4 linked regions of the Lepisosteus oculatus genome follow. The protein of the gene in region 2 interacts with the protein of the main gene of each other region in a pairwise test. Links are inferred from orthologs where the notes say so. Each region holds a gene or a part of one and is shown on either strand. Other genes may lie near its edges.

Region 1 (7,421 bases), on a different chromosome or scaffold from region 2:
CCGGGCACTCCACACAAGGGCATCACGACTTGAAGACAACTGTTTACTGGTGGAGAAAATGGCCGAGACTGTTAACAATGGAATGAAAGAATGAGAGACAGCAACATGAAGAGCTGCAGTCCTGTCAGACAGTCACGGGTGTGGACGAAAACCGCACACACCTTCTCTTGCTCTCTTGTCCCTCACTGCAGCTCCTTCCCTCCTCCTCCTCCACCTCTCTCTTGCGCCCCTCCTTCAGCGCGGTCAGGACGGCTTCTTTCGAGCAGGGGTCCACCGAGGCCCCCAGCCCAGGAGCCAGCGCGGTCAGCGGAGAGGACAGCCGGTCAAACCTGCAGCCAGTCCAGAAACAGTGTGAGAAGGGGAGACCCTTCTGGACCTGGTTTGTGCGAGTTTGTGTGTTTCATGTGGGTTTCCTGCTGGTGGTAAACTGGCTTCTGGGAAAAATGGCCCTGGCGTGCGTGCGAGGGGGGCAGAGCGAGCGAGCGTGTGTGCGAGCGTGCGAGGGGGGCAGAGCGAGCGAGCGTGTGTGCGAGCGTGCGAGGGGGGCAGAGCGAGCGTGCGTGCGTGCGTGCGAGGGGGGCAGAGCGAGCGTGCGTGCGTGCGTGCGAGGGGGGCAGAGCGAGCGTGCGTGCGTGCGTGCGAGGGGGGCAGAGCGAGCGTGCGTGCGTGCGTGCGAGGGGGGCAGAGCGAGCGTGCGTGCGAGGGGGGCAGAGCGAGCGTGCGTGCGTGCGTGCGAGGGGGGCAGAGCGAGCGTGCGTGCGTGCGTGCGAGGGGGGCAGAGCGAGCGTGCGTGCGTGCGTGCGAGGGGGGCAGAGCGAGCGTGCGTGCGTGCGTGCGAGGGGGGCAGAGCGAGCGTGCGTGCGAGGGGGGCAGAGCGAGCGTGCGTGCGAGGGGGGCAGAGCGAGCGTGCGTGCGAGGGGGGCAGAGCGTGCGTGCGTGCGAGGGGGGCAGAGCGAGCGTGCGTGCGAGGGGGGCAGAGCGAGCGTGCGTGCGAGGGGGGCAGAGCGAGCGTGTCCTGTGGCGAAGGGGAGTATAGACAGGGAGGGACAGACCCCAGCTCCCCCGCAACTCTGAACTGTATGGGATGACAATGGACAGAGGGCCACGATCAGGACAGCACGTGGCAGCAGTGGCTCTGGCGCCGGAGAGGCCCATACTCACAGAGGGGAGCGGGTCCGGCTGGGTTCCGGCCGGGCGATCTTCACCGTCACGGGGCTGCGCGCCGCCGGGGAGTTGCGTGGCGTCAGGACGTTCTTCCTGCGGCAGCCGTCCCACTGCACGGGGGGCAGCGGCCCCAGCGAGGGGCAGCCCGGCTGCTGAAGGGGGTAGTGCCGCTGGGGGGTGATGCTGAAGCGGCCCGCCGCGCCCAGGCTGTCCCTGCAGCACACAGAGCGACAGACCGTCACCGGACCGCACGCAGCTCGCACCTCCCGCCAGCGTCTGCGTCCGGCCCGTCCGGGTCAGCCCACTTCCTATCCGGTCGCGGAGCCCCCCCCCTAGGGCTCCAGCTGCCCAAACATCTCGGGGCACTTCATCTCCAGCCCTGCTGCACCAAGCCGGCCCGGTCCGACAGCCGAGCCCCCCCGGAGAGGCCGGACCGCGGCGAAGCAGCAACTCCCACATTTTCAAATCTTGGAGGGAAACCCCGCCGCTGGCTTTAAACAGAGGCGAGCAGACCGGCGCTGTAGCACTTAGGAACAAACCCGATTTATTTTAATCACAGCGCCGTCTCACTCTCCGCAGTAGCAAAGCACAGAGGTTGAGCCGCTTCGCCCGGCTGGGTCTTACCCGAATGACAGTCTCCTGTTGGGGGTGTGCACGGCATGGTTGGGCCGAGCCAGCCTCTCCCGGAGCTCCCTGCTCGCCCCGCCGGCTCCGGGGCTGTCCGCCTTACTGAGGTAGCTCCCCATCAGCAGGTCCCGGGGGCTGAACACAAACGAGCCGTTGCCGCCGCCTTCTGCCTCCTTCTGAAAAGCGCCCCGGACCTCCCAGCGCCGCTCGCCTCTGGGCGCCGCCGAATCCCCAAGCTCGCCTTTGCCGGGGCGGCCCTGGTGGCCCCGGGAGCTGACCCGGCCCGCCGAGGGCACGCCGTTCGCGGTCTTGCCCGGCAACCAGCGTCTGAGCGCCGGCGGGATGGCCAGGGCAGGCCGAGGCTGAGGGCCGAGCCTGGTGTGTTGGGACGGGCCGCCGGCGTGGCAGAAGCAGGCGACAGTGCACACTCCAAGGATGAACAAGACGTAAAGGAAAGTCGGTATGTAATAAAGAGCGAAACAGAAAATCGCGACAGCCAGGAGCGCCACAGAGATCAGCGCGATCCGCCGCTTCTCTCTGGGAGACATGGCGGCAGCGCGCCGCCGGAGGACTTTAATATCCCATAATCCTGCCGGGCGCGGGGCGCGCGGGGGGGCCGGTCTCGCTCGGCGGGCAGGAGAGGCGCCGGGAGCCGGCCTGTGCCCGGTCAGGGGCTGACCTCTGTCCACAGTCACCTAAACCGACGAAGCGGGTTTGCACGTCGGCCGATTCACCGTCAAGTCGGTTATTTATATTGGGATTCCTCTTGAACTTTTACCGCAGCACCATAGAAAGTGTTTTCATGTGTTCTCACTGCGTGGTGCAGCAGTACTACCACGCATGACAGATGCACTACAAAGCATTGTGGCAACAGCACGATTGTAGGATGCAATTTCCCTGATTAGAATTATAACTTTCAAGAGAATCAGGTGTGATCAGGGTGAAACTCATATTTTATGCCAGCAGTGACGAGGACACTCGAGTGTAAAAAGACCCCGACCATCGGATGAGACGTAAAACCGAGGTCCTGACTGTGGTCATTAAAAATCCCAGGGCGTTTCTCGAAAAGATTACGGGTGTTACCCCAGTGTCCTGGCCAAATTTCCCATTGGCCCTTACCAATCCTCCTAATTATCCCCATCTCTGAACTGGCTCCATCACTCTGCTCTCCTCCTCACCGAGAGCTGCTGTGTGTGAGAGTACTGGCGCATCATCCAGGTGGGGCTGCACACTGGTGGTGGAGGGGATCCCCATTACCTGTAAAGTGGAGTGTCAGGAAAAGCGTTTACAAACACAAAAAAAAACATGTAACCTTACTTCCAAAGGGAAACTTTTTGCCCCGGGAATTACCAGGATACTGCTTAACTTTATCATGCATATCCCACATTTCTGTCAGTCGATTGAGATAAGTTAAATTTACAGCCTCAGAAAATGTGAATTTCATTTCTTCTCATTGAGAGAGATCTGGGTCCAGATAATACACTGGTTTGATGCAGAACTATTCTGTTTGCTGGACCACAGCAAACCTGAGAACTGTTATGTGGACTTTAGTCTGCCTTTATACTGTAAGGAGCAGTGAGTTGCAGTTTCACAGACCAGGATTTAGCACTAATCTGGGATGATTACATGTTAATTGAAGTAAGCAGGCCCCCTACTAGTGCTCATGGGGCCAAAGCATGGCCTGAGAGCTATGTTAAAGGAGCTTAACACATTGAAATACTGCAGTACGGTGCTCTCTCACTGGGCTGTGATCTAACAAAGACACTGATTTATTATGGCTGGAGGGGAGGCAGCAGATAGCACTGTCTCACTTTCTCTCCTTCGGGCCCTGGGACGCAGCCAGGAGTATGACTGGAAATGGGAGATTAATTACTGGCAGAAGTGTTTTTGAGCAAAAAGGATCAAATTCACTAGCAGCACATTCACATCCACAGGACTCCAAATTAAACGTTTGCTGTAGAAATCCTAAGCAGTTCAACTCGCCTTAATTGCAATGCTCTTACGTTTTCTTAATTCAGAAGGAGAATTTGCGTTCCAGACAAAAACAAACTTTAACAGTATCCATGTTTCCTTACGCTGCACTGTATTTTGACAAATCATTCTCATTGAACTGGGTTGTATAGTGGCTCAGTGACATGGACAGCTGTCCTCTAATGGGACAATAAAACGTTCCCTTCTTCCTTCAACGTGCTAGAGAGAAGTGCGAGTGTGGGCACTGGGAACTCCCATAACTTCACCTACAAGACAGTCCTGAAAAATGAAACTCTTAGGACTTGGGGAGCCATATCCTCTGGGACTCCTGTACATACCCTGAATGCTTGTAATGGGCAAACAATCCTTCTGGGTTCAGTGTTTGAAGGTTTTTGTTCTGTAATCCCGCAGGATTTCCAGAGCTCTCGTGCGGGACCTTTCACAGGCCTGCTGCAGAACGACGGTGCTGAAATGATTGTTCTGTCCCGAGGGGAGGAAAAGGTTCCAGCTACTGAAGAGCCCTAGATGTGCTTTTGTGAGGACAAAAAGGTTTTGTTTGTCAAAAGGCTTTTTTTGCGCTGGAGGCTGGAGTGGGCAGTTGAACGTGTAGAAGATGACTCCACTCTGGAAAAGTGAAAGACGGATAAACAGAACGTTTCCTCTGCTTTATTGTGCAAGGAGACGCAATTTGGTTCACCTGTAAGAAGTAAAGCCGTACAGTAGTACAGCCCGGTGAAGCACGGTGTGAACAGTGCGAGGCACAGAGGTACGGTCAAGCACAATGCAGGCTGGGGGGCCACCACAGGGCTACACTAAAGCCCAGTGTGAAGGGGGCTGAAGGACCAGGAGAACAGTGGACACTCACAGGGTGGGATGGGGGTGGAGTCGGAGCAGGTGCTGGGATTCCGGGATTCCTGGGTGGGGGGGCGTGTGGACGGCTGTGGGCCCGTGGCCAGCCGCCAGGAGGGAGGGAGGGAGGATGTGAGAGGCTCTCTGTCAGCCAGCTGTGAAATTCTGAGGGGACACCTCACTTCCTCAGCCGGCCGCTTCCCCTGAGCGCGCCCTGTCTCTGCCCCGCGACCTCGCACTGCCCACCCCTCCTTCGTCCTCTCGCCATCTCCCCGAAGGCCAACGGACACACCTCCCGCGCTCCCCGCTAGGACTCCGGGGTGAGTTCAGTCCAGGACCCGGCCGGCTCAGGCGCCGTCCAGGACCAGTCCAGGACCCGCCAGGTTCAGTCCCAGAAAGCAGCGCCTTCCTGGGCCACTCTAGACAAATACAGGAGGAAACTTTTACAGACCATAGAAAAGGGGGAAAAAACTGAAAAGAAAGGAAAAAAAAAACTTGGAACGGAAATGAAAGTTTCACAACTGATGCAAAACTGTTTGACAGCGACCTGATTCATAAAACATGGTTATATACACAGTACAGAATCCTGCAAAAAAGTCTCAAGTGGATTCTGGAATGAGTTCCGGAGCATACCGTGCGACTATTTTTAACTGTCTCCATCAGTGTCCTTCCCTCGCCCGACCAGGAAACGCAATCAGGACGGATAGCATTTCAATTTAAAGATCACCCTCACCGTTGCGGGATCAGCGATGCTTAAGATGACGCAGCGAACAGGAATATGCTCGGTACAATAAAGACTGGGTCGTGTTTGGGTGACTCCGCCGAGAGCCGTGTTGGGTATTGAACTGAGTGATGTGCTGGTGCCGCCAGGGGGTGTGTCGGGACACAGGCCCGTGTCCAGCGTGTCAGACTGACAGTGCCTCCGGTCTCGGTAACGGACCCGCATCTACAGCCGGTACACAAACTCTGGCAATGTAAACAAAGTCATGGATAAGGGCGTGACAACAACGCGCCACGCCATTAGGGAGCAGTTTTCCCCTACTGGAAACCTACCGAAACGTACAGAGAATCCCACATTTTATCTAAAATACTTATAGAACATTCTGCACAATTTGGGGATGTTATTGAGTAGAGCTCTTACTAACCTAAGACTGCAATGAGACATGGTTCCCCAATGTTTTTTTTTCCCCCAGACGCAAGTGACTAACTGGGTCAACAACCAATCAGGTAAAAGATTTGAGCTCTGGAAGGCGGGGTAGCTGGGTGATTGATGTGGAAATTGACCAATTGGACGTCAGGAAGAACGGGTGTCGTAAAAGGGGGAGGGGGGTTCTGGGCGGGACTATAGCGATGGACATTCCGATCATCCCAGAGGCGGGGCTAAACTAAGATTGACGCCGAGACCGCCCAAGAAGAAGCCGGAAATACGAGCAATGGGTGGGCCACTGTATTAAACTAGCCAATCACATCGCCAGGTTTTCAGTGTGGGCGGGGCCTGCGCCGGGTGCGCCTCGGCGAGCTGGGGGTGTTCGGCAGGCAGGCTGGAAGGCAGCTCCCGGGGCGGAGAGTTGTGAACTACAGAGTGGCGAAGAAACTTCGTCGGGGCGCTTGGACGTTTCCCTCACTGCCTGGTCGTGCTATTCTAAAACAGCACTCCGTCCTCGCCGCCCGCCGCGATGGACCGGGTGAAGAGCTCCATACAGCAGGTCCCCAACCCCATCCCCAAGGTGCTGAGCCGCCGGGCGGGCGCCAGCAGCCTGGACGCGGAGCGGGAGAGCTTCGAGCGCAGCCAGGTAGGAGCGGCGCCCGGGGGGCTTGCGGTCCTCCGTGTAACGGGTCCTGAGGAAAAGGCAGGGCAGCCTCCTGCGAGGGCCGGCAGGTTCCCAGCGCGATTTCCCAGCCGTCCCAGTCCCAACCGGGGAAAGGCGGCGCGGCGGGCGTCCGCGAGCGGGTCTCGAGCCGGTCTCGAGCGGCTCTCGCGGGGCACGAGCCGGGGAGTGACGTAGCGGGGCCCCCCCGCCCCCCCCGGCTCTGCCCCTCCGGCCCTGCCCCTCCGGCCCGGCGTCGTGCTCTGTCGCGCCTCGGACCGGCGTGGAAATTCAGGTGACCCCGCCTGCCACTCGCGAAAGCGGTCCTGGGGGAGCGGGCGCGTCCGGGCAGAGCCCTCGGTTCGGACCAATACGGCTTGATTTTGTCGAAACTCGCCTCAAGTGACCGTGTGAGAACGGGCCGTCGCCTTTCCTCGGCTGCTGTCAGTTCCGATATCTGTTCCTGACGACTTCTAACCTGTTCTTGTGAGATCCGTCAGCTGGCCGTAGCGATTAGCTGTCAGAGCGGCTTGAAGGGCTGATTTACAAGTAAGCGCACGGACCGGGATGTTGGCGAGTTAGTTATTCACGATCCCTGGGCTTTATAACTGAGCTGCTGGCTTTAGAAGCCACAGTGTGCACAGTGCAGGTGATTGAATGGTTGTGTTTGGGTTTAATAGGAGAAAAGGGAACCGTTTATCTGGCATCCCTGATATGAAGGGATTGCAGAAGGGTGTTGCCTGACTGGTGCTGAGAGTCTGTGGGCGCTTGTCTGGGGGCGAGGGGGTGATCAGGGGTTGGGCCAGCTGTGTGTGTGAGAGGGTGAAGGGGCACTGTGGCCCAGACGGGTCCCTGGAGCTGCGCACGTAAATTTGAGCCGAGAGCAGAAGGGCTGGAATATCACCAGGTGTGTCCTCACGAGCTTTGCGCCTCGTTTTTCTGGCGAGCCGCGGCCTGCTGGAGGGGCTGTTTCGGAGCTCTAGCCCTCTGACCCCCCCCTCC
Region 2 (7,498 bases):
AGTTGTGGCAAAGGCCCTGGGCTTGTAACTGCAAGGTTGTGGGTCCGAGTTCTGACAGCAGTTCCTCTGGTGTACTCCTGAATAATGTGCATGCATTGTTTCAGGAACTTCAACACTAGATAAATTCCTTAGCCTTCAAGAAATGTGTTAGATGCTAGCTTATACCACAGCTTTGTCCCCTTGACAAAAAAGAACGTTTCACTTTATAAAACTGTGCAATAACCCATGCAGAAAAATGTCTTTACCCTTAGAAAACCTTTCTCCTTGATTCCATATTTTACAAATACAAAAACCTCATCCGCAATTTCTCAATCCGTGCAGTGATGCCCAACTGTGATATAAACTAAATGCTGTAAAGGTTAATCAGAAGAACGTTATTTTTTAATCTGATCGAAGAATAATTCTCTTAATTTAAACGTAATTGGAATTATCTGCAGCAGCAGTGGCCTTATAGTAACAGTGTTGTAATCACAAAACTAAACCTCAAGCGGTTAACTAAAGAAATTGGCGGCAAGCGAAGATTACTATGCAGTGCCCGTGAAACTGGAGAACATAGCCCGGCACAAGGCAAACACACCTGAATGGGTGAATAAATACTGTCTGTTGCCATAGCAGCCCGATCTAATTGCTTGATTGATCACGGCTGAAGTAAGAGCGCCGCCAGTCTGCACTGTGGACTGGAAATCTCCATGCCGCTGAAGCAAAGCTCCGGTGAGGCCATCAGCCTCGGTCTACAACAGTCCTCTCTAATACTCTCCTTCCATTCAGTGCAGAGCGCGGCTGGCAATGTTTCACTATGGGGGAAGTTTAATTTGCTCCTGATAAAAGCATCGGAAGAGCTCACTGTCAGTCACAGCCAGAGCTAGGATACCGAGAGCCCTGTGCCTCTTTTTTTCCCCCCCACACACGTACTGTATATCCCAGTTCTGCAGACATTATTTTCACCTTTTCAAAGATCTCAACGTCGAACAAGAGCTGCCCGCCTAAAAATGTAGACGGACCTCAACTTTGCGACTTCACAAACCTCCACCAGTGCTGGTAACGTCGAAGCAGTACAATAGCGTCACGAAAACAAACTTGCGAATGCAGACAGTTCGTGTTAATGTCAGATTGTGAATACACCGAGATGCCAGGGAGGAGAACCTGCCTCGTTAGTCTACTACAAAATATATATCGCAGCACGGCGATAAATTGGTGGTTTTTCTCGGTCTCCCCCCTCTCTAAAGACCAACGCTAAGGCAAGTAGCGTGCAAATCCGCAAGTACCCGAGCAGAAGTTGCAAAAGCACATCGGTTTAAAAGGATTCCCTAATGCACACAGCCTTTCGTTACTGTAAACAAAGTATAAATAGCCTGCAAACGCTGAGATCCCAGCAGCCTATTATATAACAATATAGCTAGCTGGGTTACATGACATCACGGGCAAGACTTAACAACCACTAGCCGTAAGGAACGGGGGAAAAAATGTCCATTTAAACCGAATTAATTTATGTTTGGGTGTATTTAAGAAACGTCATAGTGAATCGGCATGTATTTTCTAAATATGTGTATGTTTGTTTTCTTTAATGTTACACTTACTATAACCTCGATACAAAAGGCATAGTGGTGTTAAACTAATATACATTTCTGGGCATGGGCCAAATAATATAACGCATAAGACTACCCTTAAGAAAAAATCGTAATGCAGGGATGATGAAGCTCATAATTGTGGACTGTTTTTCTTTAGAAGCAGCTACTGTAACATTTCTAGGTAACAGGGTTATTAAAAAGAGTTACATTTCTTTCAACCCAGAAGAGTGTTGCATTTACGCAACGCACCCACACGCCTGTCCTTGGAAAGAGCTGCCCAGCAATAATAAAAAAAAAACCCCGCTTCATAAAACTAGAAACAACACGCTTATCTCGTGGATTACTGTACTACTACACACACACACACTATGGACACATCGATTAGGAAGTGCTTTCTGTAATGCGTCCTGAGCCCGCTAGAGGAAGTGGAGTGACGCAGCGAGACGCGAGAGTTGGTCCGACAGCAGCCCCAGCTCAGTGCGCTTCTCCTCGGCTACCGCGCCTCGCAACATCCGCCGCACCGCCGCCTGGTGCGCAGCGCAGCGCAGCGAACGGGCGCACGCCTCGCAGTGCACGTCCAAGGACGCCCGGGGCGAAATTTTTCCCAGACCCTTTCCTCTGCGTAAGAAGTTATACCTCCTTTCTGGTGGTGGTGGTGGTGGTGGTGTTGGTGTTTTTTTTTAAGAAGGTGGGGGGGGGGAGAGAGAGAGAAAACAACGCCAACTGTGATCCATCGCGTCTCCCTTCCTAGTTCCTCAGAGCCATTTTCCTCACTTCTTTGGGGAGGAGAAGCGGCGACGGAGCCGGGGGCTCCCGAGGCAAGACATCACGCTAAATAAATCGCCGGGACTTACTGTACGGTGTAATGGTCTGAGGAGGGCAATGCCTTTCCTTGTTGCCAGGGCTGTTTTCCTGCAGTGACGGCGGGTCCGTCTCCTCTCCACTACTAGAAGGATGTCTGCAGCAAAGCGAGGCTAGCTCTCTCTGTGTCGCTCGCTGTTCCCACCTCTCTCTCTCGCTCGCTCGCTCTGTGAATGTGTAATAGAAGCCAAATATGGAGCAGTTGGCCGCCTCTGCAATAGCTCCAGGATCCTTCACTATGCGAGGAGGGGATGGAGGCGAAGCCGCTCTCTGGCACGAAGCCAGGAGTCGCGGATTAAGGCATACCCACACCACACGGAGTTACGGAGAGCTTTAACTCCTTCGCCGCCGGACGTTTTTGTCGTGTTGTTCCCCCCCACCACGTTTTGTTTTCTGTGGACAGCTGTGGTTTCTCACAGTTTCGTAGACGCCAAGATGAAGTTTACGGTCTCGTTCGGGGAAAGCGGTCGTGGTGCATGCAGGTGGTGTTAGCTTTTATCCCGAGCGAAGCCCTGGCACCTTAGTGCAGTCGAACAGGAGCTGCTGGCTTGCCCGGGATTTCAACTCGCTACCTTCTAGTAAGGCGCCCAGAAGCCCAGAAACCACACTGCTACAGTACTTCATTCAACGCTGTGATCTGCATGAAGTCACAATATGTATTAACTCCTAACCAAGTGACTCCTTTCAGCGCATGAAAAAAGTAACATTGAAATGTGACAAGTCACGCCTAACTAGGTGCTGCGTAGACAAATGCCATCGGTTAAAAAAGGTGGTTAGTCAAGGATACTATGTTCATGATAAACATCATTACAGCCAGATTATTTTTCTTCTAAAATACATCGAGCGCATAGGTTTTGTTTGCACTCCAAACATAAAGATAGCTTTAAAACATTTTCTTCTCCTGGCTAAATTACAAAAGAAGAACATGTTTATATGTTGTGTATATGTTTGTTTTCGTTCTACTGTGTCAATATTTCCGGATTTTCATAACTGACCGATTCCAAATTGTTAGTCTTTAAAAGAAACAACAAACAAACACCAGCCATCAGGTGAGCAGTCTATTGTGTCGAAAAAGCAAAACGGACAATTGAAAATCCTGATTGTGACAATAAAATCATATATTTAATTTCTAAATAACACTTGAGCAAAGCTATGCTTTGGGTCATAATCTTAAAGTTACAGTGTCTCTAACTGTAAAATTTTAAAAAGTAAAATTGCACATTTTTCTTGTGGCCTGTGGCTAAGAGCTGTTCTTGGAAAATACATTGGTCCACAGGCACCTCCAAAACTGCTGTACTGTTCAAGTCAAACAATATGTCTGACTGGTATTTTTAATTCCATGAATCAATTTTCAAGCCATATGAGAAGAAAGGGACATGGGACTGAGATCTATTACCTTAGACCCTGAAAAAGAGTTTCCTTCAAGAACAATACTGTTGAAAACTGACTCCAGTGTCCAGCAGGCCCACACTTGAGTAGAAGAAAAGTCAGAAACCAAATTTCCCCCAAAGGCAGATCACTCTTAACAGTTGACCATCCTCAAGTTCAATGCTAACATCTACGATAGCAGCATCTTCCAGTAAAACCGCCTATGAAACGCCTGTGAACTGATTAAATACACAGCCAACCTGGGGAAGAGCTGTTGTCAGGATTTACATCATTAATATACTGTAGGTAGAAAAATAAAAGCTGGCCCCTACTCTATTGCAAAGTTGTATGACATTTCAGCTGCAGGTTCAGGTATCTTTGCTGTCGGATTTCACATACACTTTTTACTGAAAGGAGTTTGGAGTTTTTATCTGACTTAATTAATGTAACCCTTTAGCTGAAGGTTTGACTGTTTAAATGTTTTTAACTGCTTTCAGCACTTAAAATTTACCCAGCACTGCTGTCTGAGGTTTCTCTATTGGTCTTTTTTTATGATGGATTCTCAGTTGAATCCTCATTTTAATTTTGATAAAGCAGCCATTGTAAATTAGTCAAGAAAGTCATTAATCGGGACTGTGATGTGTAAGCTTTGCTGGTCCTTCAGGGTCTCCAGCCTTGTTCTTGGAGAGTTGCTACCCATCCAGTCTTACATGTCAGCATGGCATCGACATGGGACGTAACTGATGACTGAAAAGATGGAATCTGCTCAATTTAGAAATCATTTGGAAACAAAAAAACTCAGTCCTTGAGGACTAGAGTCCCTTTAGACAAATGCCCTGCTCAATAGATCAATAATGTACTGGAAAGTGTTGTTCATCTTTTTAGATCCTGGTGATATCTCCAGAATCTAGTTTTCAGAACCCCCTTTTTTCTGTGGGGGTTTCTATTAACTGAACGGGCCTCTGGAATTTAAGTCACTGAGATCAAGTGACACTAAAGCCCAATTATATTCAAAAGTTAAAATCTCAAACCCATCACCACTAACCAACCAGAATATCTAACGGCAAGTTCCCTGTTAGAGGAAATACAGTAGGAGCTCCTGTGGCACAATATCAAGTAGAGTTTTTATTTGGGACTGACAAGTGAGTTCAATTTATTTTAAATTCTGGCCTAAATTAATGTTTGCCATGGGAATTCATGGTACTACACAATTCCCTTATGTCACTAAAATCACTGCTTAGATGTTTAGTGAGGTGAAGAAGAAGAGCAGTTTCTGGAAAATGTTGTGCACATGATGCTTGCTAAATATCTTGACAACTAGCAGGGTATTTCTGAAACACATGACTGAGTGCAGAAAATAGCCCAAACAGGGTCTAGATCTAATTAAGAAACTGTTCAGTTAAGGAATCAATTAGTCAAAGTAATTAAAAGCTCAGCTACTACATAAACTAAGAGATACAGTATCCTGGGGACTGGGGTTTGCTAAAGAGCTTGCTGGAAAAATAGTTTTTTTCTGTTTTACTGTCTTACAGTATGAATAGTTTTTTTTACGGTATAGAGTACTTACTCTATGAAGTGGCTTCATTACTCTGCTCTCCTTCCCACTGATGTGTGGTGAGCGTTCTGGCGCACTATGTCTGCCGTCGCATCATCCAGGTGGGGCTGCACTGGTGGTGGTGGATCATACCCATATTATGATAAGTAGCTTTGACATTTGTCCCGGCTCATTTCAAAGTGAAGTGAGGACTAGCACTGTCAGCATCTCCCAAGAGAGGTACAGTAGTTAGACTCTTGCCCACTATAGGGAATCGTCATTTCAAGTCCTGAGCAGCTGTATATTAGACAATGAAAGGCACACAGAAAGCCAGCATTCATTTTCCAATTTCACAGCTCGGCTTCTACTGATATTGAACAAATAATATTAACGGTATGCTGTAGATACAGAGATCGCTGATCACAGACAGTAGTCCTAAATAACAGTTTCTTTAAAACAGCAAAATACTACGGATTGTCTGGAGCTTGTATATTTACAATAAAGCCTTACATTTCAAGAGGCAAGAGGAGATGCATTATTTCACCTACTTGCATCACATGTTTCTAGAAAACAAAATGCAACTTGAAAAGGTTATTTTGATTGTGTAATCCCACTTTACAGAAGTGGCTACAAATGGATATTGAACTGAATATTAGAAGAATACGAATTGAATACATTCTGTACTCTGACTCCTGATGTTGATGACTTCTATCAAAGAGTCAGGGTTAGAATTAGGGGCAGGGTCTTTCAAATGTGATAAGCTTTGGGCCTGAGAGAATACACATAAGACATTCTAGCATTGTTGCTTTGGTAGGGAACCAGAATTCCTTAATATTCTGTTACCATCAAGTATTTCCTAAACAGTGATGTTGCTGACAAATTTCTGTCAATCAAATACATCAGAAATTAGGTACTTGCATGGCAAGCCTCACAATCTTTGAAATCGTGACCTTAAATAGTCCCCAGTTCATCTTTCTGAAGAACAACATTACGCATACTAATGACATTAACACCACAACCATCCGTGATTTCATCATATGTGTGTAATTTCCTTAAGAATTTCTCCTTTCTCAATCAACAAAAAGAGGATGATAAATTATTTACTGTACAACACAGAAAGTATGAGAACAAAGATTTTTCTTAAAGCAAACACAGCCAGGATACGTTTCATTTAATAGGGGCTTCATCTATACAGATGGCAGGAATTGGGGGTCAGTTCTAACAACTAGCAGTGTTTCAAAAGGTTCGCCTGTTACATATGGAATTCTGTGTAAAAGCAAGGTAGTTCCCTTCTAGAATACAAGGTTGTTTTTGCTTGTCATCTAGCCTAATTAAATTTGGCAGTTCTTGTAATAAATATAGCATCTTAAGAATCAAGGCTTCACATAACACTAAGGTACAACGTGAAACTGATAAAAGTGGGTTCTCATAAAGAGACAGCTGATTTAAATGATTTAACGATTTCATATCACGAAGTACTGAAACATCCTTGATAATGACCACATCCTCAAATTTTCAGTCAGGAAAATACTGCAAGGAGAGTGATGTTATGACAGCCATGTTTTATTTCACTGTTTTGTGGGAAAGAAGAAAAAATACTACAGGAAACTGAAGAACTACCATGAAGTGAGACGTTGTCAATTCCAAACAACGCTCACTATCTGCAGAGCGAATGTGCTTTTTTAAAGCTGCACTGTAGCTGGAGAAAATCTCTCACATTTTGTTATACAGTATATTCAGAGACACCCCTTTACCCAGGACAGTACATACTGGCAGTAATGGTGGTCTATGAACGTACATCGGTTTTCTTTTTCTTTTCAGAGCCTATAAAAAACAACACTTGGAGCTGCAGCCAGATGTAGTCTTAGGCTCCTGTTTTATGGTTCCTCTGCGGAATCTTCCCCTTCCATTCTGAGCCATGCCAAGAATCTAAGGAAAGGATACAATTTTAGTCATAACTTCCTTGTTTTGGTCTTTATGCAAAAAAACTTTTTTTTTTAATGAAAGTTCCGAAGAGCTGAAAGTGGTGTGGTCATCAATTTACACAATTGTAGTACTGAAGAGGAACATTTAAAAGGATGGTCTGTACTGTTACTTTACATTACTGCACATTACTATATACTTGATATCCTGATTTGCTTTAATGCAGTTTCTCTAAGTTATTACC
Region 3 (7,781 bases), on a different chromosome or scaffold from region 2:
CTTTGGGCAAGCAGATCGGAGGGGCCCCTTTGACTGAGTTCCAGTTGTAAATCTTCTGTATTAATCTGAGCCTTTTTATTACAGTACCAGTCTTCAGACAAGAGCCATGCTGTCTTTGGAAAGTGTGCCACTAACACATGGCAATGCAAGAGATCTTTAACCCTTTTCTGAGTTTCGGCAGTTTGAATTGGGTTGAGATAGATAAATAAGACTTTATTGATCCTGAAGGGAAATAAATGAATGACATATGCATGACTATTATATTTAATGAGTATGTGTGACATCAGAAGACACTAGAAGGACCTAAATGCTTCCTGTGAGTATTTATTGTATAAAAGCTGAACAGTATGCACCTTGTGAAATACTTCCTACTGTAAATTTGCATGGCTTTACAAGATTGTGTATATCTGAAATATGCACTGTTTACCATGATTTCTCTGTGCTTTGCTACACTTTGCTGAGTGGTTTTACAACTCACAATACACACTTACCTCTTGTCTTGCATACACTGCATATAGCCTAATACATCTGTAAAATGGGAGAGTGTACAGTATCAGGTTCCTAGGACCATGTCTGCCACCAAGTCTGACTTTATACCACCTGGAAACAATGCTTAATTTGCCTAATTAAAGAATTGAATTAGAACATTCAATAACAAAGCACGTTGCAACAGGAATATAAAAACCATCAGCTCCTTCACATGGGATTCGAGTGCCCCTGGAGTCCGATATGATTGAATGGTCAAATCCAAACTCACTTTTTCCTACTTGACAGCGCGCCTGAGCAGAGCACAGAGATGGAGGGGCTTGGACCTGCAGAATGAGCTGATGGGTTTGCCAGCAGAGGAGGCATCAGAAGTAAAATGCCAAACTCAGGCGGTCTGAAATATTCCAGGCTTGTGGCCGGAAGAAAGGTAATTAAATGAAAACCAATCTGATACTCAAAGCAGGAAATAAATAATGGGGTTCCTTACGAATGAGGTGAAACTGAATCAGTAGGCAAGGTGCTGTTTGTCAGGGAAGTCCTTGTGGTGATCTCCCCTCCTCACTGAGCCCTGGTCAACACATACAAACCCCAGCCTAACTGGGTAAGAGCATCTGATTCATCTCCCCCTAATTCCTGTAATTTAAATGCACCGCAATTACTTATTGATTTCAGACCCCTCATTTCATTGTCCATGTATGACATATTTAAACGAGGAATAAAGAACTTCAGACTTCTGAAGTTTTGCTGTTAATATGACTTTATATATGAATATACTGTACCTGCAGAATGCGCCTCATTTCTCTGACAGTTATATTTTTGTCCAAGGAAATGAATAAACGCCAGATTAGGTGCTTTAACAAACAAATAGAGTAAATGCACCACATATTCTGCCAATATATAAAATGCCTGTTAAAAGAAAATGACATTGAAATTCAAAGAATCATGTGCTATGCCAGTAATTTACTTTGTAAAGTATAGATGGCTTACAGTCTGTGATAGGGGTGATTCATAGAAAGGATTCTTACTTTACAGGAGTTCCTTCTATGGTGATTACAGTAGTGTTAGGAGTTCCTCTGGGAAACAACTTACATCTGAAAGTGAAATATGCAATGGTGATAGGGTTGGGAGTCCAGAGGAATACGCTCCAATGCTACGAGAACACTGTGACCCAATTTACCCTCGTCAAGAGGAATCATTAATTAAGGTAATTAAGAGGCACACAAGTAAAGGTCGATGCCATTATTCGGATAATTTATCACCTTGTCTTTTACGCCTGTGCCACTCTCCTGAATATCGGCGTGCCTTTTTCGCTCCAGTGTATAAATCAGTGCAGGAGCCACAGAACCCCATAGCCCCAGCCGAAGAGAGTGGGACTGAGGCAAAGTTTCTGGAGCAGGCTTCAAGCACACAGGGAAAGCAGGCTTTGCGTTAAAGAGGACAGTGCTCTTATTTCGAGGTTGGGCTGGGGATGAATTAATTGTTGATAATTAGTGCATCTTAAAACTAGAAAAAAAAAGAATTTCTTTGGGCTGCAGATCTCTGGCGTAAGTGGTGCCAGAAGCCTGGGTTTCAAAGTCTGTTTTGCTCTCGGGTTTTCCGAAACCCACAGTGTGCACTTGAAAAAGGGAACGGTTTAGGAAGATCTGGGAATTTAGGCCAAGTTGACCAGAGTCTGCAATGAAGGAAAAATCTTTGAATGTCATCTATCAAGGGTGTTCTGACTCTTCCAGTGAAAAAATGTTATACCTGAATAATGAATGAATAATCCACAACACAGTGAATTTAATCACCAACAGAGACCCATTGTAGGCATGTAATAATAATTATTACAATTATGCTTATATATAGTTTTCTGGACACTCCACTCAAAGCGCTTTACAGGTAATGGGGATCCCCTCCACCACCACCAGTGTGCAGCCCCACCTGGATGATGCACCAGTACACTCCTCACACACCAGCTCTTAGTGGGGAGGAGAGCAGAGTGATGAAGCCAGTTCAGAGATGGGGATTATTAGGAGGCCATGATTGGTAAAGGCCAGGGGGGTATTTGGGAAGAACGTTTCAATATGAGACGAACTGGGTTCCCCCCTGTATGTACAGTAAAATGCTATTTGGAAACCCTTAGGGGTGAAAAGCATCACACAAAATGCCTGGATTTATTATCGCTGTTATTATTAGAGAGGATAATAGGATTAAAAGTCTGGTGCATCTCCGTTGTTTCCTACTGACTGAGCAGGGCGAAAAAAGAAAACAATTCAGCAGCCTTTGTTTTCCAGTATGTGTGACATCAGAACTCTTTCTGTCAGTTGCTAACCTGTTCCCAGTTGGTGGCAGGAAGGAACACAGGGAGGACAAAAGCAGTTTGATGGCAGATGTATACAGGCACAGGACACCGGGCTTCGGACAAAGACCTTGCAGGCCTAAATCCATCTCCTGCGACTCCACACCCCTGGATCAGGTCATAATAGGCCCGAACTTCAGTCTCGTGACGTGGAATGCGCAGCTGGTGCCCGCGCCCTCACATTACCGCCAAACGCTGACCAGGAGAGAGCAGCTGGGCGGCTCGTTCGATATTTGAACACGCCAGCGGCAGGAAGGTAGATAGATAGATAATGCTTTATTAATCCCGTAGGGAAATTGATGAAGGTAGCCCATTTGCCTTCACACCGCTGCTAAATCTTGCAACCCAGTAAACTAACCCTCACCCCCCCCAAAAAAAACAAACAAATTAATATTTAGTTTTCATGCTAATGCGACACGTCATGTCCAATAATGAAACGTCTCAATCTTTTTCTGCGCCTACCACCTGCTGATGTTGTGAAGTAATGCTCTTTTCGTTCGGTTTGCAAAATATGACCGGGGTATTTTCCCTCAAATTTATTCTTATTTTGTCATGGATTCCTCACCTTACCACTCCTGAAGGAATCCTCCTGTAACGACTAGCCAGACAACCAGAGAGACGGTGTTTCTACCCTACCCCACGGACAGGTCCGCCGGCACTATCCACAGGGCTTTCATGGGAGGACAGGAAGTAGATCGCCAGGCCTCTCTTCCGCGCAGACAGTGCGAGTGTTGTTGCCGTTGTCACGGATATGTGACCCTCCAGCACCAACCCAGCCCCATACTGCTGCTGCCCGGTATGGGTTATTAGAGAACCTCACACCTGACGTGGGACACAAACCCACTTCCCTGAGATTATGAGCGTCATGCTCTACCAACTGAGCTACCCAGGGCTTCGGAAATCTATAGGGGTGCCTTTATTTTCGACAGTAGCACAACTCTGTTGGATACACAGTATCACAGTATTTGTGCAACAAAGCTAATGTATTCTGCCATTTATTCCCTGCTGATAGTGCCAACACTTCCACTGCATGGAATTTTAATGCAGGTCCGAGTGTTTTCCTGTGATGATGTGTTGGAATATTTTTGGAGGACTAACCCTGTGACTGCCTCCCTCTTTCAATGCATGGGGTCCATTTCAATGGACCCTATGGTCTGTTTTAATGAGAAGGCATGCTTGCAATGAGATGGTAATGGTCTCTTCACATAAACAAAACGCAACTGGGGAATTTGTGGTTTACCTGCAACCAGAACACAAGAGGAGAAGTGGAGGTTTTATTTGTTTGCAAGGCAACTCGTGCAAACACCTGTTCGTGGTAGTACTCCTCAATGAACCCGGGATGACCCTGTGTATTACCATTCACTGCCATGACAAACCGTGGACACCAGGGGGCGCCAACACACACTTGCTCTTATTAAGTTGACCTCGCGTGTGGGGCGCATCATCTTTTGTATACGCACAGGAATTCGGCGTCTTAATTATATTTTCTCATAAAGGCCCCTTCTCTGCCTGAGGTAACCAGAAGATTAAGATTTTAAAATCCCTATACAGCACGCCTCTAACAGCTAGCCGTGACCGAGCGAAAACCCCAGTCTCGTCTGGCTGCGTCAACAACGATTGGCTAATCTGACGGAGACAGGAAAACTCTGCCCTTGGCGTTCAATGATTGGTGTACAGTCTCGTCCATGACGTATTGAAACTGCGCTCACTCCGCCTGCCATTTTGGATCCACGGGAAGGCAGGCGAGGTAGCGCTCCGCACGAGTCGCCTTGAGCCACAATGGCGGCAGTTTCGAGAGATTTAAATCTCTCGGCCCTGTCACTCCAGCTGCCTCGACGCGGAGGAGGCACACCTATTGGCTGTCACAAGTCACAGTGTTCCTTGCCTGCCCTCTTATTGGCTGGGAGGCGCCGATGACGCGGGCAGTGGGCGGGTCGCCTGAATCTTAGGCGGCGCGTGTCTTCCTCAGTGCAGCTAGCGCTCTGTCCGGCGCAGGGGAGACGGGAGTGTGGCGGTTTGTTTTTGTTTCTACGGCGGAGCCGGCCTGGGGTGTGTTTTATTTGAATTTTTTTAATTTGGGGGGGGAGGTTACTTTTGTTTTCATGCTGTGAAAGCGGTGTGTGGGGGGGGGGGCGGCAGACAGGCTAGCAAAGCCGGCAGAACTGGACGCCCATGGAGAAGATAAGTTGACTGTTCCGTGCCTGGGGAAGACTTGCTTTTCCTTCGCAGCCAGGGCGAGAGACCTGGAGGGGGGGTTATTCACGAAAATGATCCGGATTTCTGGAAACACGGGGGCGCGGAAATCGCCGTCGTTTTAAAAAAAAACACAGTAACGGGGGGAGAAGAGATAGGGTGAGCGAGGGAGAGCCTCCAGGCCGGCTGCCCCCCCCGCCAACCCCCCGCCGCCCGACTCAGTCTCAGCCAGACCCCATCTTCTCGGCTTGTGGCTCCGCTTGCCTTCAACAACAGACCCCGCTGTCGGATTTGCTGCTGTGCAATTCTGGTTTTGTGTCTCCAAGAGGAACAACAACAACAACAACACCGGCACCCCCAGCACAAAATCTAAACGAGAAATAAAAGCGGGGCGAAAACCAGATCTCTCCTAGAGACCGGCGAGCCGACATCCATCCTCCCAACTTCTGAAACTGCGCGCAGCTGCCTGGCGCACAAGTGCGGCTGTAGGAGGAGAAGAGGAGGCGGCGGCGGTGGTGGCGGTGGGGGGTTTGATCCAAAGGAGTCAAAAATGAGGAAATTAAAAAGATGATTGCCCCCCACCCCGTGTGATCCCGGAGCCCGGCTGTTTCGTGCCGTGAGAGGGGCGAGATCCTGCCCCCCGGGAGGAGGGAGAGACAGAGGGGGTACCCCGGCGTCCACAATGAGGGAGTGTTGAAGGCCGTTGCGTCTGTGTATTGTTGGGGTGGGTGGGTGGGGGGGGGAGAGAGAGAAACGGGTCGTTCCCCGCCGGAGGAGTACCGTTTTGAGCTTTTAATCATCCTCTTTTCGTTGTTATTGCGTGTGTGTGTGCGCGCTATCTCCTGGAGGCCGGGCAAGGCAAGGCTGTGTCCTCGCTGCCGCTGTCCCCCGGCCGGGACGCTGCTGGGCCGGACCCGGGACAAGTCGCCCCCTACCCCGGGAAGTGGGTCAGGCCCCTCCTGCGTGGAGATGAGGTGCCGGAGAGAGTGAGCCGTCCTCTCAGACAAGCGATGGCGGGGCTCGAGCTTATTTAATTTATTTTCCTCACTTTTTTTTTATTTTTGGATTTTTTTTCCCCCTTCCGTGCCTGGTGGGGTGACAGCCCAATGCCCGTCTGACCACCCCCTCGTCCCCTCTCGCCCCCTCTCCCCCCTCTTCCCTGCTCTCCATTCACCCTACTTTTATTTTTCGTCAACAAAATTAAAAACACACACACGAAAATACTACAAAAAGAAGGAAGGAGAGGGGTGGCTTTTCTTCCCGGCTGGTCGTTTGTCGGCGGAGTTGAATGGCTCTGTGCGGGACCACGGCTACCAGCGCCGCAAAAATGATGGCCGCGTACAACGGCGGCGCCTCGGCGCAACACCCGCACCACCACCACCACCAGCTCCAGCACCTGCCTCCCCCCCACCTCCACCACCACCACGCCGGCCAGCACCACCTGCACCCGGGCTCGGCCGCCGCCGTGCACCCGGTGCAGCAGCAGCACGCCTCCACCACGGCCGCTGCCGCCGCCGCCGCCGCGGCCGCCGCGGCGGTGATGCTCAACCCCAGCCAGCAGCCCTACTTCCCCTCGCCGGCTCCGGGACAGGCCCCCGGCCCGGCGGCCGCCGCGGCCCCGGCCCAAGTGCAGGCCGCGGCCGTCAAGGCGCACCACCACCACCCGCATTCGCACCACCTGCCGCAGCAGCAGCAGCTGGACATCGAGCCGGACAGGCCCATCGGATACGGAGCTTTCGGAGTGGTCTGGTAAGAGCTCTCTGGGTCACCCGTCCGCCTTGTGCTCAGGGCAGCCCCCCCCAGGCGCGGTGTCACATGGGAGGCAGGGGTCTGCGCCTGGTCTTCCCCGGACCGCTTCCGAGAAGGTGCCAGGCGGGAGAGGGGCGGGGTGTAAGTTCTGCTTAAGTAGCCTGGCGGTCTGAGTTATAGGAAAAAGAAAATCGCTCGTTCAGTGTTCAGATCTTCCAGAGAACGGTCCGGCGTGAACTTGCACCTAGTTAACACTGTGCTGATGAAGCTGCGCTCTCCAGAATCGCTGGGGGAGCCGGAGTTAGTTGAGCGGGGCTGGGGGGGAGTGTTAGCTCCGTTTCTCCTGCGAGTTCAAAACGGGACCTGCCGAACCAACCGGAGAGAACAGCTGTAGTAATCTGGCCAGGCGGGGATGGAGACCTGTTTCTCCTCTCTCTCTGGGACGTCATTCTACCACCTAGGGCTTTCCTTTCTCTTCTTGTCAGCGCGACAGGGCTTGCAGCGTTGCTGCATGATGATGTCAGTCTGGCAGTGCCAGTGAAATGGATATTTATAGGTGGTGGTTGCAGTGCCCAGGGCTGAGAGCACACTCTCTGGCACCGTTCTGCACACTCGGTAAAACTTTCAGATGGGTCTGGCTGCTGTTCTTAACTAGGGAGCTGTGTGGAGACGCTATCGCCCTCTATTGCAGGGAGAGCTGTGCCCATGCTGCTCTGGACCTGGGGTCGTAGAAAGCCTTTGATTCTGACGCCCTACTGATACTTATTTCATCCACATTTTTTCATTGCTGTGCTTTAAGTGCTGTTTTGTTAACGGGAGAATTTCTGGAGTTTTGTTTCTATGAATTTAGCTTTGATAGGAAATGCTGGAAACCTCACATGGCTGCCGGTGGGATCTTTGGAGAGGCTGGCCCTTTTGAAATAGGTTTTTGTCCTGTTCTTCTCCTAATGGCTCTGTCTGTTCAAGCTCATAGGCAATTAATGTGTTCATCAAGCTCTGGACCAGCTTGACA
Region 4 (6,887 bases), on a different chromosome or scaffold from region 2:
CCTTTAAGATTTGAAACTTCAATAACATCGACATCATGAAGTATGGAATTAAACACTAGACTGACAGGTTAAAATAATCAAATATGTTTGGCCTTCTCTTTTGACTGGGCTTGTTTCGAGTTTTTAGAATCTCAGAAAACTGACAAAGACCTCTTAGACTTCAAGGTTAACCGTGAAACATGAACCAGGTGACAGAACTGTAAAGTACAGAGACCTGCATTTAAGACTAACAACAAGAGTAATGTCCTTACATTTAGTATTGTAGGAGTCTGAAACATGCTGCTCAGTCATCTTATTGAAGCTCACACACTAGGCTTCCGTACAAGAAAGGACTGGGAGAGATCCTTCAACCAGACACCTACAGTACAACCAACCAAATAATTATGGGCCAGATGATCTCCTCTCTCAAACTATCTCTTTTCATTTCTCATCTCTTTCAATGTTTTGTTTCCTGCCTGGTTCCTTACAGTACGAGTGACAAGACTATCATTAAAAACAGCCAAGGGGGACAACAGAGCTGTTTGAACTGATTTATTTTTCAGTCTTAAATCATATCCGAACACTTGATTGTCTTCTTGAATCCAATACAGATTAACAGGACTTTAACTTAGTAATGAGGGAAAAGGGTACATTGTACTTTTGGGGTAAAATTTCCCATGTAGTATGAATCATTTTTATTAGCTTTAAAGATATAATACCGCACATCATAATTCATCTAACACTGACACTCAAGTTTATTTACACATGGGAAAATAATGTCTGTTATATAAACAGTGGGATATATGTTTAGTGCAATCCTTAATATTTTATTATGTATATTTTTTTCAATCTATTTCTTATCATCAGACCAGGTTATTTCATAGTCTTTGAAGACAGCCTTCAATTTCTCAACCGTCAAGGAGTGATCAGCTTTTCCATAACCCTGAAAGAAAAAAAAGGTTTTGTATATCTAAGGAAAAGCGTCTTTACACCAGCCAAGACTGCATAAATGAATGAGCATTTTCTGCCAACTGTCTTCAGATAGTTAAAGGAATTGCGACTGCATGCTTTCAAAGCAAAGCAATAACTGTTCAGCCATTATCAGAATGCCGTTTATTCCTGGAAAGAATTGCAGTAACCAGGAGCCCATCCTGGAAACAGAGTTTGAAACAGGACTACACCCTGAACGGGTCAACAGTCCATCGCAGGTTTCAACCCTTTTATGACCGCACATGAAACTTCAGGGTCCAAATGGAAGGGTTGAGGTTGAACTTACGGTGGAAAGACCGAACACCCTGATTTTCTTCTCTTTACTGTTGTGTTCGACCTTCCCTCCTCCAAGACAGCTGCATTCCATTCCTAAATTTTCCATCTCAGGATTTACCTTCTCAAATATGTGATCTGTGAGGAAAGAAAAGAAGTGGGTGTCTAGGTCATGCGTACGATCTCGGTCCAGTTATGGTCATGTGGCGGTCATCCCACAATGTTGGTCTCGGTGACGTTTGCACCCCTTATGATTTTCGTTCTTTAATTTCGAATTAAAATGTACTTAATTTCAATATTTTAAGATTGTGTTTACTCATCACAAACGAATACAGAACATGACCAAACCTCTCAAATACATATAACTCAAACAGTGCATAGTATACGTTTAGGACAAAAGGAAAAAAAAAAAAGAAAATACATAATCATAACTTGATAAAAAATGTTCTTAATGCAACATTTCTTGTATTAGGTATACCCCCTTTATATCTATGTATCGGGGCAATCTCGTTATACTTTACAATCAAATGCCTGTGTCACGAAGTTCTTTTTCAAGCTACGTTTGGTATTTAAAAATAGAACATGCGAGTAGGCACATTTTATTTTTAAAACGTTTAGTTTTCCTTCCTGAAGGACACTATATTTTTCAATATTTCACATATAATAACCTTAACGCTACATAAAACCAATCTTTATTCTCCAGCACTTGCAAACACTGGACTTATGGAGGCGTGTAAATCGCTCGAATTATTTAGGTAACCTCATCCAGCGAGCTGAACTTACTGTGGAACTCGGCACTCGCCGTGCCTCTCACTATATCTTTGTGCTGAGACCCATCTTTCGTTTTCACCCTCACTAGAATGTATTTAAATACTCCGTCGGGGTCTATTTCAACATCAGAGACTTTACTCAACAAATCAGCCATGGCCTTCTCCGGTTCTGATAAAACAGCTCACTACCGCTTCTCTGTTGGCAATTCTTTTTGTTATTCTGGGTGGAGCTTCGTCATACGTGGAAAACCAGTGTTTGTGACGGATGAACTTTAAAGCGACACAGTTATTTAAGTTCATAGCAATCACGAGTCAAATTGTCAGACTGTGCAAATCCACTAACCCCAATCAGTAAGATTTCCCACCATATAATATAGTCTTTACATCATCTTACTATCGATGTAAAATCGGGATCGTCTTACTATCCCAAAGTGCTTCATAAAGTCATATTTCAGTATACTTTTAATTTGATTTAAAGTAAAAATGTAGCTTGCACTAGGCGATTTAACACCATACTGGAGTATCAGGCACAGCTAATCCAATTCTTTGTTGATCAATGAGCGGCGTACTTCACCAAGTCTGCTTTGTCAGCTGGCATTTATATTACCCTTATTTTCCTGTTGTTGTTTTAAATCTCCGCATATGCTGTTCTCTCTATACTGCGAAGTTCACCGTTTCCCTTTGTACAACAATAAGGTGCAGTTAAGAGGCCTTTGGAGGTCATGTTTGTTGTGAGGTTGGCCAGTTTTCTACAAGTCTTTTTATAGAAATTAGAGATTTTGCAAGATCACCAACGATAAACATGTAGTGCAAAGATCTACAGCGCATTTATTATTTTTCTTAAAGAAAAAATATTGGTAAAAAAAACCGCGTAGAGATCTAGCAGCATAGTGACACATTGCTAAACCACAGCTCTGGAGCACCGGGTTCAATTCCAGACCTGAGGTGCTACCAGCGTTGAGTTTGTGTGTCCTCCCCATGTTTGTGTGGGTCTCTTCTGGGTGCTATGGTTTCTCTCCCCCCAGTCCAAAACATACTGGTAGGTGAATTGGCTTCTGGGAATGCTGGCACTGGTGTGAGTCTGTGTGTCCCTGCCCTGCCATGGACTGCCGTCCTGTCCAGGGTGTACCCTGCCTTGCGCCCGTTGCTTGCTGGGATAGGCTCCAGCTCCCCTGTGTCTCTGAGTTGGAAGACTTGGTTAGAAAATGGATGGATGAAACCTGTAGAGATGTAAAGCATTGTTTGAATTAATATATGGGAATATTGCAATAAAGAATTATTTCATAGCAGACTTAGCCTCATAACGCACAATTATATAACAGCTGTTCTGCTATGACGTCGCCCATATTTGGTAAAAACAATTGTATGTGGTGCTACAGTACAAGCTGAGCAATTTTCTGCTGTTGTGTGTCACATTTCCAAGCAAATAATCCAATTTATAAGATGTTTACCGGCTTAGATATCACAGTTTGGTGAAATTACAGGGTAAAGAAAGTTGACATACAGTAAGAGAGCAGGCATCAGCGAAAGGTTCAGAGTACTTAAATACCCAATATCTCTGTGAAGAGTTAGGATTGCTAAAACTGTATGGTTTAAAGACACCTTCATTGTTTGCTCTATTTTCCTTCTCATAATGTTGTTTATTTTACTTTAATGACCCATCTGGCTGATAATGACACTGTAAGAGTCTTTTTTTACATAAATGTAAGTTGCATATACATTTAACGTCGAGTTATCTCATGTTTTAGGAAGGAAATCATTTGCTCAGACTTTCCTCTTTTAAAATGTTTTTCTTTCTCACCGAACCACCTCTTTCTGATTGGTGTTTGTTTATCCAGTTTGTACACCATCCTATGTTTTTAGGGTGCTTAAAAACGCTTAGGTTCTTGAAAACGTAGAAGCTTCCTGTAAAAATACATTATGTTGAGTCTTTCATCTGTGGTTTGAGACCTTCCTGTGCTTTCTCTAAAGTTTTTCGGTACCTTAACTGTGCTTTGTTGGTGTGTTTTCTAAAAGGAAGCACCTAGAGACAATGCTCACCTTCAAATGTTGCCTCATTTAATAAAAAATAATAATAATTTGCTGATTGACTGGCAAACCATTGTCTGATCAAGGTGTATATGCAGTGCAGGCCCCAGGCAGAAGCTGTGTTAACAGCTAGCTTCTCCCCCTGCAGACATTTCCTGAGTCGGGAAAATCCAAAATGTGAATGACTAATTAATCCAAACGTTTATTTTGGCGATTTAGAAGAGAACAATGGACAAATGACCGTGCAGATAAAGTGAAATGATTTCAGCTGGAATTAACAGTAACTAGCTAGGCTGTACTTTTAGAATGGCAACAGTGTGACTAACACCCTCACGTCTTTATTATTTCCTTTGTGGAAATCAGAACTTGAAACGTTTCTGAAGCTCCACTGAGGCACAACCACTGTATTTAAACCCACTCGATGCTAAAATTAGTCATATCTGCGCTGCGAAAGAAAGTAGGAAAGAGTTGTTTACATCTTTCAATGGGTCTGTTTGGTGGGACTTGCTGACAGGCAGTAAAGTCATGTCAGCCATTGCCTTAACAGCGTTTACCATGGCACATTTACTGAAGGAGTCTTGCATGTGACACTTCACTAACATTTTGCACCAGGAGTGCAATAGTGCACTATTGTAAACGTGTCTATATGGTGTTTCCATGGTCAAATATAGTAAAGTACAGCGAAGTCTTAATCCTGAGTAAGCATAGTCCCTACTTATTGTAGTCTCTGGGTTGGCTGAATTGTGGTTGTTCTATGGGGCTCTTAGAATCCATTCATAGACTACCCTTATATGTTTTGCTCTGTATTGGTCCCAAGAATTTACGAGATTTGTATGTTTTCCATTTGATTTTGTTTTTCAATTAGTTTATAGTGCATTTGTAGCTCTTAATTTAAAGAAAGAAAGTTCTCTACCTTGTTTCAAACCTAGTCTCCCTTGTGCCACTTTTGTTTGTTGACCATGTGAATTTAGATCTTTCTGGCATTTGACAATGTATAAAAAACATCTAATTTATTTTCAAATATTTTTTCTCACTTATATTCTTTCAGAGCAGAAGGTATAATTCCATCTTTATTCCATTCCTATTTATTTCCACTTCATTCCATAGCTGTTTCATCTCTATCTCAGCTTTATTTCATCTTTATTTTCCATCATCACTTAATGATTAAACACACTGATCAGGTTAAGTCTTACTTATTGTGTCACTTTTGTGAGTTTGTCAGCCGAGATGACATAAACCTTAACTCTGATTAACCGGAACAGTGTGAATACAATTTAGATGTATTGTAATAAATTCTTTGGAACATAATATTTTTTGATTAATGGATTTTTAAATACAACTACAGTACACTGAAGTCTTATCTTTCAAGAAAGCGAAATGGGATGTTTGTTATCATCGCTGTGAAATTGAAAGAATTGTTTCCTGTATCTTCTCCTTTGTTTGATGGACTCCTTCGTTTTGATGTGTTCAGCATTCTGTTATTTGAAAGAATTTTTTTTCCTTCACCCACTGGGATAAACCGGATTTAAAACAAGGTGTCATTTCTTGGGCTGACTATTTTTATAATTGTTTTTTAATCAAAACTTTAGCGGTGAAGCGTGTGACAGTATTAAGCATTTTTACTTTGGCTCGCATGCAAAAAGCTCTCTGGATTTCCTATTTACATGAGGTGCTTTCCCAGTACAAAGTTATATCGGTAAATCACTTATCCTTCTCGTCTTCAGACATTATAATATAATTATACTGCACATTAAGAGTTTCACAGGCTTCCTTTCTCAATTTCCAAGGGTTTCACCTAAGCCTTGGCTCTGCATCAAGATGATAACACACAGTTTGATACAGTTGAAGGTGCATATTAATGTCCAATTTTTAAAAAGAGAATGTGTTGAGTTAGTGGCATAAAATATACTTATTGTACTAAATATTTTTTACTATACAAATATTGAAGATTTTGCTTATAGCTATGTATAGAGTAATTTGAAGTGTGTTCCAGGAAATATATGTAGAGACTTTCAGCCCAGCAGACGTAGTGGAATTTCTCCAATATTGTGTTGTAGGAAAGGCGCCAGTTTGGTTGTATAAACTTTGTCTGGTCATTTCCTTTCCTGTAATGAGCAGTGAGATTACTGGATTAAACTCCCTTCTGACATCTGTCTAAAAATATTACTTGGTTATGACATCTTCACAACTGAAATATATATATGAAATATATATATATAATTTTCAATACTAGAACACTGATATTGATTGTGGGGTAACGTGTGTGGTGATTGAGTTACGATCCCTTTTTATTATGCACAGTTATCCTGAATGGGAGTGACATCTCCAGTTCTTGGCTCTATTAGAATCCATAAAGGAGAATTAACGTTCCACCGAAAGCACAATCAGTAATCAAACACAATCGAGTAATTAAACAGTTTCAAAATTGATTGCATCTTGATTTTAATTGATTGCAAAATTGATTGAATCCATCTGGATTTTCAAGTCATTGTAGTATTCGTAATGTATTCTAATACACTGTTTTTAATATTCTAAATTGCATTTATCTAATTGTGGTCTTATTTTTAGTTTAGGGAAACAACTGGGAAATACAATACACCTGCGTATTACAAAGCGCCACATCTTTTCCCACTACTAGCCTATTACCTCTTCTCTGGGATAAACTCCCTCTATCCCCAAAGTGGGACCTTAGAATTGCCAGTAGATACCAGTATTTAGGGTTGGGGTTTGCAAGGCTCTGATGGTGTCTACCGCCCTGATCTGGCCACACCTCTGCTGTTCCACCAGCATGTTTTTATATATATCTAAATAATGCTGTAAATGTCAGATTTAAAAGAATAATCTGGT

What was found.
Region 1: the proteins of atxn1a (region 2) and pom121 interact in binary tests that used the Homo sapiens proteins (3 or more experiments, as listed by UniProt). The link is inferred for Lepisosteus oculatus from reciprocal best matches to the Homo sapiens genes ATXN1 and POM121.
Region 3: the proteins of atxn1a (region 2) and nlk2 interact in binary tests that used the Homo sapiens proteins (3 or more experiments, as listed by UniProt). The link is inferred for Lepisosteus oculatus from reciprocal best matches to the Homo sapiens genes ATXN1 and NLK.
Region 4: the proteins of atxn1a (region 2) and 14 kDa phosphohistidine phosphatase interact in binary tests that used the Homo sapiens proteins (3 or more experiments, as listed by UniProt). The link is inferred for Lepisosteus oculatus from reciprocal best matches to the Homo sapiens genes ATXN1 and PHPT1.

The regions. Positions count from the first base shown.
Region 1 is NC_090721.1:492,945-500,365, forward strand, and holds the start of pom121 (nuclear envelope pore membrane protein POM 121), read right to left. Parts: upstream 3,006-7,421; 5' UTR 2,340-3,005; coding exon 1,789-2,339; intron 1,378-1,788; coding exon 1,162-1,377; intron 330-1,161; coding exon 162-329; intron 1-161. Other genes in the region: hip1 (huntingtin-interacting protein 1), read left to right, coding at 6,288-6,404. UniProt on the Homo sapiens protein: Essential component of the nuclear pore complex (NPC). The repeat-containing domain may be involved in anchoring components of the pore complex to the pore membrane. When overexpressed in cells induces the formation of cytoplasmic annulate lamellae (AL).
Region 2 is NC_090705.1:39,523,477-39,530,974, forward strand, and holds the start of atxn1a (ataxin-1a), read right to left. Parts: upstream 3,022-7,498; 5' UTR 2,423-3,021; intron 1-2,422. UniProt on the Homo sapiens protein: Chromatin-binding factor that repress Notch signaling in the absence of Notch intracellular domain by acting as a CBF1 corepressor. Binds to the HEY promoter and might assist, along with NCOR2, RBPJ-mediated repression. Binds RNA in vitro.
Region 3 is NC_090721.1:8,929,348-8,937,128, forward strand, and holds the start of nlk2 (serine/threonine-protein kinase NLK), read left to right. Parts: upstream 1-4,780; 5' UTR 4,781-6,308; coding exon 6,309-6,769; intron 6,770-7,781. UniProt on the Homo sapiens protein: Serine/threonine-protein kinase that regulates a number of transcription factors with key roles in cell fate determination. Positive effector of the non-canonical Wnt signaling pathway, acting downstream of WNT5A, MAP3K7/TAK1 and HIPK2.
Region 4 is NC_090704.1:8,541,505-8,548,391, forward strand, and holds 14 kDa phosphohistidine phosphatase, read right to left. Parts: upstream 2,239-6,887; 5' UTR 2,168-2,238; coding exon 2,026-2,167; intron 1,381-2,025; coding exon 1,256-1,380; intron 923-1,255; coding exon 830-922; 3' UTR 517-829; downstream 1-516. UniProt on the Homo sapiens protein: Exhibits phosphohistidine phosphatase activity.